Linked DNA regions of Oryctolagus cuniculus. The protein of the gene in region 1 interacts with the protein of each later gene in a pairwise test. Links are inferred from orthologs where the notes say so. Each region holds a gene or a part of one and is shown in the gene's direction. Other genes may lie near its edges.

Region 1 (4,483 bases):
TGCCTCTGCGAAGCCTTGGAAAATCCTGGCCGAGCTGGGCTAACGGCGATGGCCACTCAGTGACCTCCGTGGGCGGTTCTCGGTCCCGGCTTCCCCCTCGGAACACCGGGCGTGATGGCTGACCCTCTCTTCCAAGCACGCCCGACGCTAGCATGGCAGATCTTGCATAGCGCTCCACGCAAGGCTGGCTCCCCCGCCCAGCCCGCAGCGGGTGCTGCCCGCAAGACACCTGCGTCCCGCGAGAGACGCCCACTGCCTGCGGGGGCTCTGGATCCACACTTGTGGTCGCTCCTGCGGTCGCCCCAAATAATACATTTTGTCTGTGGACCGGTCACAGCGCTAGCTGCTTTGCGGGGGGGGGGGAGTTAAGATACCCCACCACTTCGGCGGGGCCTGTCATTTACCCCCTGGAGCCTAGGGACAGCAGCGGCAGAGGAGCATCACGTGGCCTCCAGCAAATCGTGAGAGCCAGAATTAGGTACCACGTGTGGTTTTTTTTTCTTTTTCTTTTTTTTTCTCATCCATTTGGCGGCTTCCAGCGGGTCCACGTTCTTCATCCCAGCCTCCCCGGCGTGGCAAGGTTGCTACGCGTCGGCTTCGTTCTATTTCGCCGAGGCCGGCCCAGGTCGAGCGGGTTCGCAGGCTCCCGGCAGGTGCGTAAGTCCGCGGGGGAATCCTCGGCCGCACCTGGGCGCGGCGAGGAAACCGCACCATGTATGGGCAGCTACGTCAGAGGGGCGGCCCCGGCGCGGCGGCTGCTCGGGGGACGCCTCGGCGGCCCCTTCCCCCCGGAACGGTGGGCGGTGTCGAGGCGCCCAGGGCGCCCAGGCACGGGGCGGCGCGTCCGGAGAGGTGGAGCCCCGCGGGGACCCGCGCCGCCGCGCACGCCCCGCCCCCCGCGGTCCCGGCGGCTCAGCCCCACAACTTTTCATTCATAAAACGAAGACTCCGCGAGGTGCGCGTGAGTCAGAACGCAAGCCTCCGACGCGGACCGCGCGGAGCAGCCGCCAGCCCAGGGCATGTACCGAGACTTCGGGGAACCCGGACCGAGCTCCGGGGCCGGCGGCGCGTACGGAGGCCCCCCGCAGCCCCCCGCCGCGGCGCAGGCGGCGGCCCCGCAGGTGAGAGGGAGGCACACCGGGGTCCCTGGGGACAGGGCGGGGGGACGGCGCCTGGGACCCCGGAGGCAGTCCCCGCGCGCCCCGCTGTGGAAGCGGCGAAGCCTGGGGCCGGGACCGCGGGTTCTGCCCATTCTCCGCAGTCCGGGGGCCAGCTGCCCCCAGAACCCAGAGGGACGCGCGCCCGCCCCCTCGTTCCCTGCCGCCGGCTCTTCCCTCCCGGGAACCTTCTTTCTTACCTGCGGTCCACTGCTCATTTGTGCGTCCCGCCCGCCTCGGAAGGGACGTATGACGTCCGGGCTATGTCCCAGCCCCGGGCGGTCAGCAGACGTCTCCCCCTTGGCATCCCGCGCCTGGGATACGTCGGGAACCCCTGGACGCAGCAGGAAGGCGGGATCTGTCGGTGACCTCCTGTGTGTCCGCCCCCGTCTACCGCGACGTCAGGTTCCAGCCCCCTCCTCTGCGCGGTGCAGCCGGGCTCCGGGGCGGTGGGACCCTCTGGGCTCCCGGTGGCCGGCTGTCCACCCCGTGGCGGAAGGACTCAGACAGAGACTGGGCCAGGTGCCGGGGCGGACGCCAGGGACAGCTCGCGCGCCCCTGCCCTCGGCACCGAACGGCGCCCACTGCAGGCTGGGGGCACTTGGGGAGCTGCAGGTGCCCATTTCCTGTCGAGGGGCGGCGAGCACGTGTCGCCAGGGGAGGGAAGGCGCGGCGTCCGTTCCGCCGAGTCACGGCGGCCGAGTCACGGCGGCTGAGTCACCCGCGGCGCCCCTCCCTTCCTGGCCCCGAGTGGCCCGGGCCCGGACAAACTCCGGAGCTGGGGACGCCGCCGGCAGTGCCGCGGGCCCGGAACTGGGGTCGCTGGGCCGCTGGGCTCGCACTGCGAGGACTTGCCTGGGCTTGCGGGGCGCTTCCCGGCCGACCAGGCGCCCACACCCAGGGCCCGTCCGGAGGGCTGGAACCCAGTTTTTCCAGAACAAGGCGCCCCCATCCCAGCCCAGTCCTCAGATTTCTGGTAGAAAGAGAAGGGTCCCAGTTAGCACTGGAAGCACTGACAGCCATGCCAGCCTTGTGCTGGGCGCTGGGCACTGGGCACCTCCGTTACCGTATTTCGTGGAATCTAAGACCCCGTGGAGTAAAAGATCCACAATTATTTGGTGTCACTAAGTTGTTTAAGTTGGTGTGTCTGATTTCAGAGCTTATTAGATGGTACTTCCTTTTTTTTTTTTTTTTTTTTTTTTGGACAGGCAGAGTGGACAGTGAGAAAGAGAGAGAGAGAAAGGTCTTCCTTTCGCCGTTGGTTCACCCTCCAATGGCTGCCGCGGCCAGCGCGCTGCGGCCGGCGCACCGCGCTGATCCAATGGCAGGAGCCAGGTACTTATCCTGGTCTCCCATGGGGTGCAGGGCCCAAGTACTTGGGCCATCCTCCACTGCACTCCCTGGCCACAGCAGAGAGCTGGCCTGGAAGAGGGGCAACCGGGACAGAATCCGGCGCCCCGACCAGGACTAGAACCCGGTGTGCCGGCGCCGCAAGGTGGAGGATTAGCCTAGTGAGCCGCGACGCCGGCTTGGTACTTCCTTTTTTTTTTTTTTTTTTTTTTTTTTTTTTTTTTTTTAAGAAAATTATTTACTTGAAAGAGAGTTATAGAGAGGCAGAGACAAAGAGGTCTTCCATCTGCTGGTTCACTCCCCAAATGGCCACAACACCCAGAGCTGAGCTGATCTGAAGCCAGGAGCTTCCTCTGGGTCTCCCACATGGGTGCAGGGGCCCAGGCACTTGGGCCATCTTCCACTGCTTTCCCAGGTGAGCAGCCGGAACCGGCACCGGCACCCGTATGGGATGCTGGCACTGCAGGCAGGGACTTTACCCACTATGTCCACAACCACAACGCCGGCTGCTAGACTTCTTAGCATCAATGAAATGCTGCGATCCTCCTCTGTGATAACAGCAAAATGGGAAACTGAGGCACACGGGGATGAAATAGCTCGCTGAGTCCCCTGTCAGTGGCTGAGCAGAGCTGAGCAGTGTCTCCCCCGTTCCCTCGCCCCATTCTCGCAGCCACCGCAGGCGCTCCGGGGCTGTCCTTGTCCCCCCAGGGGGATGGGTACAGGAGGGGCCGAGAGCCCAGCTTCTGCAAATGGAGCCCCTGCTGTGCCAAGCACATGGGTCAGTGTTTGTGGCCAGGAAGGTGTCTGGCAGTGAGCAGAGAGGTTGTGTGCCCTGCCCACAGTCACACAGCTCGTGAGCAGGGATTTGCCACCCATCAGTGTCTCTGGCTGCCAAGCCGGGCTCCTTCTGGTCTCCCAGAACCGGCATCTGCACGGAGGGTGGACGGCGGGAGAGTCTCTCTGCTCGGACCTCCTTGAGCCACGCAGACCTCACCCTGGCCCTCCGTTCCTTCTCCCCCAGAAGTTCCACCTCGTGCCCAGCATCAACGCTGTGAGTGGCAGCCAGGAGGTGCAGTGGATGGTGCAGCCTCACTTCCTGGGGCCCGGCAGTTACGCCAGGCCTCTGGCCTACCCCCAGTACAGCCCCCCACAGCCCAGGCCAGGAGTCATCCAGGCTCTGGGGCCGCCTCCAGGAGCACGTCGCCGGCCCAGCGAACAGGTGAGGGGCGCTGGTTCTGGGTGCCCAGGCATGCCAGTGTGCCAAAGGCATGCTCTGGCCACAGCGGAGAGCATGGGCTCAGACCGGCCGGGGAAGGAAGGGCCACTGCCGGGGAGGAGGTGATGGGCGCTGCTGGGGAGGCCCGCAGGGCAAAAAAGGTCACCTCTGCACCAGGGAAAGCTTCCTGGAGGAGGCGGCGCAGGGTTGCACGTGCTGAGATGAAGGGAGGGACAGTCCAGGCACAGGGGCTGGCAGGAGCCAAAGGGGAGGGGGGGAAGGCGAGAGGGTCTCCATGGGCTGCCGTGCACGGAGAGGGTGGGCTTAGGCAGTGCAGCTGCAGCAGCAGTGGGAGGGGTCCCTTCAGTTCCTCCCTGGATCTGTTTCCCGTCTCATTTAACTCGGACATGGACCCTCTGCCTCCTGCGTGTCTGCCTCTCCTCATCCCTTAGCCAAGAAGTGCAGGCACGGAGGTGTCCGGCACCTGCCCGAGATCACGCAGTAGTGAGAACCGGCCCGGGTCTGCCCAGCTGTGACCACCAGGCCACACGTCTCCCTGGGCGCTCGGGGAAGGGTCCAGGTAGAGGCTGCTGAGCTGTCCGCCTCCCCCGAGTCCGCACCCAAATAAAGGAACGGAAGGAGGGGCTTGAACAGACGGCTCTTTCCTCTCCCTGGGTGTTTGCTACATGGGACCACGGTGGAGAGAGGGCTGTCCCGGCAAAGCTCGCGCTGCAGCCGGGGTGGAGCTCAGGGTCCTGAG
Region 2 (4,590 bases), on another chromosome or scaffold:
CTCAAAGATCCCCAGCCCCCCGATCTCCTTATGTGCCCCCAGCGCCGGTCATATGCATTTGAAACACAGGCTAACCACGAGAAAGGTGAGAGACTGTGATTAGGACCAGAACATTGGGCCAAAGGGACCAGGAAATTGTCTGGAATCTTTGGGGTCCCTGGCTAGCTGTCTCTTCTGTAGCCTGAGCAGCTGTAGTGCCCCACTCTATGGAACTTTGGTCCTCCAGCTTCTGTTTCTGACTGTGGGAGGCACTTTCTCAGCTGGTATACCTGAGCTCGTCTCAGACTTAGAGCACTTACTTATCTCTCAGGAGATTTTCCAAAAAAGTCACCAAGATCCTGTTCCCAGGGAGTAGCGTCATTGGCCAAGGGGAACATAACGTTAGGCAGAAAATTTAAGAAGTTTCTCAAAGCGAAGAATGGAGGGGGAATTCCAGACAAGTTCCTGCTCTCCTCGGAGGCTTCTTTATAGAAGCCCAAGACAGAGGTGAGGACTGGGTCAGCTCAGAGCTTCTCCCTCCGCCCCCCCCTTTCTCACACACACACACACACACACACACACTAGTTGTCCATCCCTACATCCTTGGATACTTCCCGATCCTCTTAGCTCCATATTAGCAGTATGTCCAGGAAGTTCTTTGAAGTCCTCAGTGTTTGAAAGATGGCCTGGACCCCTCCCTTCCCCTCCATCTGCCTCTCCGTATATTACAGGGGAAAGGTCTTGTGCACATCTCTCTGGCCGTTCCTTTTTCCTTTGGAATAATGCCCTCCTGTTTCAGAAAATGGGGATGGCCTCACTCAGGTTCTTGGGACTGCTTCTCCAGACAGGTGGAGGGCACAGGTCTCACTCTAGAAGGGGTTGGTATTGCAGAATAAAAGTTGTATTTTTACACATAAACAGTGTGGAGTCTCATTATTCTGACTAAAACCTTGGGTGATAGGTATCACATTTTCATATATTTGGCCAAACTTTTTTTTCCCCTACTTTGTTCAGGGCTGTTTCTCAGTTGTCATGGAGACTAGGCTAAAAACTAGAGCTGGGGTCAGCGGTGGTCAGGAAATGGGGAAGAGAAACTTGTATTTACATAATGTTCATTATGTGCCAGGAACCGGGCTGGGTAGTCTTGTGTATTAATTCCACTTAGCAATTCTGTAAGGTAGGTACACATAGGTGGCTCCATCTTACGGATGAGGAAACTAAGGCTCAATTAAGTAAAAATGCTTGTAAGATCCCAGCGGTAATAAGTAGAAGAGATGGATTTGAGAACCAGGTTTAAATGGCCTGGTTTCTTAATTTTTCCCATTATACCATCCTACTCCAAACCTATTAGGAAGAATGGGAATCAATCCTCTCGCAAAATGTAAGCCTCGGGTGAGTGACTAGCGACGCTAACAGAAAGGAGGTATGCTCAGATCTATCTATTTATGCCCTGAGATGTCTCCATCTCCTGTAGGAAACCCTTAAAAAAATTGCCCTTATCCAAGATGGCCTCCCAAATAGCCCTTGTTAAAGATGGCGCCTCCGTCTGGCGGCCCTCCTTGATCCCCGCCTGCCGCCCCATTCCCTTTTCCCGGAATCAAAAAAGCTCTGCCAAGCACAGAGATGGCAGCACACGCTAGCCGCCCTTCTCCCGCTCCCGCCCTAAGTGGCCAGGCCTCGAGCGACATTCGCCAGCAGTACCCCTCCGAGCGTGTCCCCACGCTCCCATCCCTCCAGCCCTCAGCAAGATGGAGCGAGCGGAAGTGGAGCGGCTCAGGGGCTGTAAGTGGGCGGGGCGGGTCGAGAGAGACACTTCCGCCCCTCACCAACATGGCCCAGGGCCGGCAGTGCGCATGAGCAGCTGTCTATGGAGAGACTCGGGTCGGGAGAGGGAGAACACGGTCGGGGGGAAATCGGCGGCTGAGACGGCCTGGGCCGGTGAGTGCAGGGCCACACGGCAGTGTGGAGACTGGATGGGTCGGCAAGGCGGGGCCGCTTTGATTTAGTTTCCGTTTTTCAGGATGGGAAACTCTTGGGGGAGGAAGCCTTTGTTTTGGGGGAGGGGACCGTGCCTGGTTCTTTTATTTGCTATCCCGCTTTGTGGGCCAAACCCGCTCCCCGCCCTCCTGCGCTGTCCGGCCGCGGGGCTGCGGCTGCGGGCCCCCGAGCTCCCGGCGCCCCTTCCCTGCCTGCTCTGCGAAGCAGCCGCGGCGCGGGGCGAACGCGGCTGGGCTGGCCGGGTCACGGCGCGGGCTCCGGGGCGCGCGCCTGGCGGGCGCTCAGCTCGGTGAGCGCCTGCTGCTCGGTGGGCCTTCGGGGAGACGCCTTGTTCTCAGGCCTGGTTTCTTTCCAGGCTGCATCCCCCACCCCCACCCCGCTTTGTGTCCAGACTCGGCCAGGGGTCTCGCTGGGCCCTCGTTTGCCTGAGCGTGCACAGCGCAACATCCTATCCCGGTTCCCGTGTCTCCCATCTCCCGAAGGCTCAGGAAATGCTTCCGGATGTCCAGCGCGGGGTTGAAGAAGTAGCGCGACCCCGCTGCGGGGTGTCCTCGGAGACCGCCCTTGGCTGACAGCTGTGGGCGATAGAGGCGCCTCCTACTCCCTGCCTTCTCTTTCATTGCTTCCTCCTGCAGTCGGCGCGACGAGCCTCGGAGGGGCACTTTTCCCACTCAGGTTGGAGGATGGAGACCTGGGTGGTCCCAAAACACCAGGGCTACTTCTCCTGCGGGGCTGGGATCTCCTTGCAACATTACTTCCTTCGGACAGTTTCGCTTTCAGTTCCTTTTTGTTGTTGTTGTTGTTGCCATTTTCCTTGGCCACGGGCTCTCCAGGGCTTCTCCGCTGAGGATATTTCCTGGGATAGAAAAGGCCAGGAGAAACTCACGGATGCAGAATTTACAGAAATCTTGCCCCTTTCGTGTTGGGATTATTTTACTGCTTTGTACCGGCTGTTTCTTTTCGGCATCTGCCCGCTTAGCCCTTTGTTTTTTTCTGTCGTCTGGCTGCATGTCAGGGTCCTAAGGCAGGCACCTCCTAGATGGGTTCCTCCTCCATTGTCTCTTCTTCGGAAGCCTAAGCCTGGGCTTTTTTTTTTTTTTTTCTTTCCCTCCTTAGTGAGGCTCAGTTGATTTGGAGTTGTCATGGCAACGTTTTAGCAACTGTGTTGTTCTACAGGAAGGCTTAATGAATAATAATAAAGAAGGCTTGAAGCTAGTGCACTTGGATGTTAGGTTCTCTAAGGGATGATACCAATCTGGGCACCCCCTGCGCCCAGATAAGAGCCCTTTCAGTAGAGTGGAGCCCAAGGGCCAGGTCTTTGTGGTTAGCATCCGTTTTCCAGTGGTGGTGGGTTCCTGTGTCCCCTCCCTGGATTGAGGCAGCTGGAAGCTGAGAACCTGGAAGAAGCATGACTGTCCATGGCCTTGTGTTTTGGTAATGCTGGTCTCAACATGGCCCTCCCTAATTTCCTTGAAGCTGCTGTTGTGGGAGATCATGATAGCTTTAATAATAATCCTTTGAGAAATGTGTTGTTTCTCAGCCTTCCGGTATAATGACCCCTTCTCCACCAAGAGTCAGGGTGATAATGAAGGGGTGAGGAGCTCGATTTGTAGGGTTGCGTTTTCCAACAGACCGGCCCTCAGCATTGGAATGGGGGAAGCTGGTTGTCCTTTGCAGGTGCAGGTGACTGGGTTCTTTTCCTGGCTGTGTGTTCACGGAGCCTTGATCCCAAGTCTAGGGAGGCTGTTCAGTCCAACACTCACTGCAAACTCCGTGATTTCTACCAGGACTTAGTATTCAGGCCTGTGAATCAGGAGATACGAAGACTCCAAAAAAAGGACCAGTTCCTCGGATGTGCCCCCTCACAGAGAGATGAAGGGGTGAGTAAAGCAGAGGTAGGGTCTGGGGTGAGAGATGGTTGGCCTGGGAGAGCGTCAGACGCTGAGAGCACTGGCTGTGCGGGCAGACAGACCTGGAGTCAGGTCCAGTTCCGTCCCCTACCAGCTGTGTGATCTGGTTTCCCATTTGTAGAATGGAGGTAGTGCCACCTGCCTTATAGTGCTGTTAGTGTTCACTAAGACAGGACATGTTAAATGCTTAGCTTGAAGCCTACATGCATAGTAAGTACTAGTTGTTATTCTCACGTAACCCAGCATCTGTTATGGATGCCAGTGGATTTGGGAGTTCTTTGCCACTGGGCCAGTAGCTTCTCACTCCCTTCTTCCCTTATTCTTTCTTTTGCTCTTTCACCACAAACAGGCAGCAGAAAACAGCTGAAACGGAAGAGGGGACAGTGCAGATTCAGGAAGGTGAGTGTTAAAAATGGAACTGAGAGCCATGATGGCACCTGTCCCTCCACTGGGCCACCTCCCGAGCGCCCTTCCTCCTTCCACGTGTCGTGCAAGTGGAACAGAAGGAGAAAGGCAGTTAACTCAGGGACCTTTCCTTTGCTCTCCTACTTCAGGTGCAGTAGCTACTGGGGAGGACCCAACCAGTGTGGCTATCGCCAGCATCCAGTCAGCTGCCACCTTCCCTGACCCCAACGTCAAGTACGTCTTCCGAACTGAGAATGGGGGCCAGGTAAGGGGAGGAGCCAGGTGGCTGCAGGTGTTA

Evidence for each region.
Region 2: the proteins of FOSL1 (region 1) and USF1 interact in binary tests that used the Homo sapiens proteins (3 or more experiments, as listed by UniProt). The link is inferred for Oryctolagus cuniculus from reciprocal best matches to the Homo sapiens genes FOSL1 and USF1.

What each region holds. Positions count from the first base shown.
Region 1 is NC_091432.1:5,874,824-5,879,306, forward strand, and holds the start of FOSL1 (fos-related antigen 1), read left to right. Parts: upstream 1-1,406; coding exon 1,407-1,562; intron 1,563-3,528; coding exon 3,529-3,726; intron 3,727-4,483.
Region 2 is NC_091438.1:37,751,153-37,755,742, forward strand, and holds the start of USF1 (upstream stimulatory factor 1), read left to right. Parts: upstream 1-1,771; 5' UTR 1,772-1,917; intron 1,918-2,241; exon of another isoform or gene 2,242-2,266; intron 2,267-2,459; exon of another isoform or gene 2,460-2,652; intron 2,653-3,764; 5' UTR 3,765-3,849; coding exon 3,850-3,857; intron 3,858-4,236; coding exon 4,237-4,286; intron 4,287-4,441; coding exon 4,442-4,557; intron 4,558-4,590. Other genes in the region: ARHGAP30 (rho GTPase-activating protein 30), read left to right, coding at 1-99.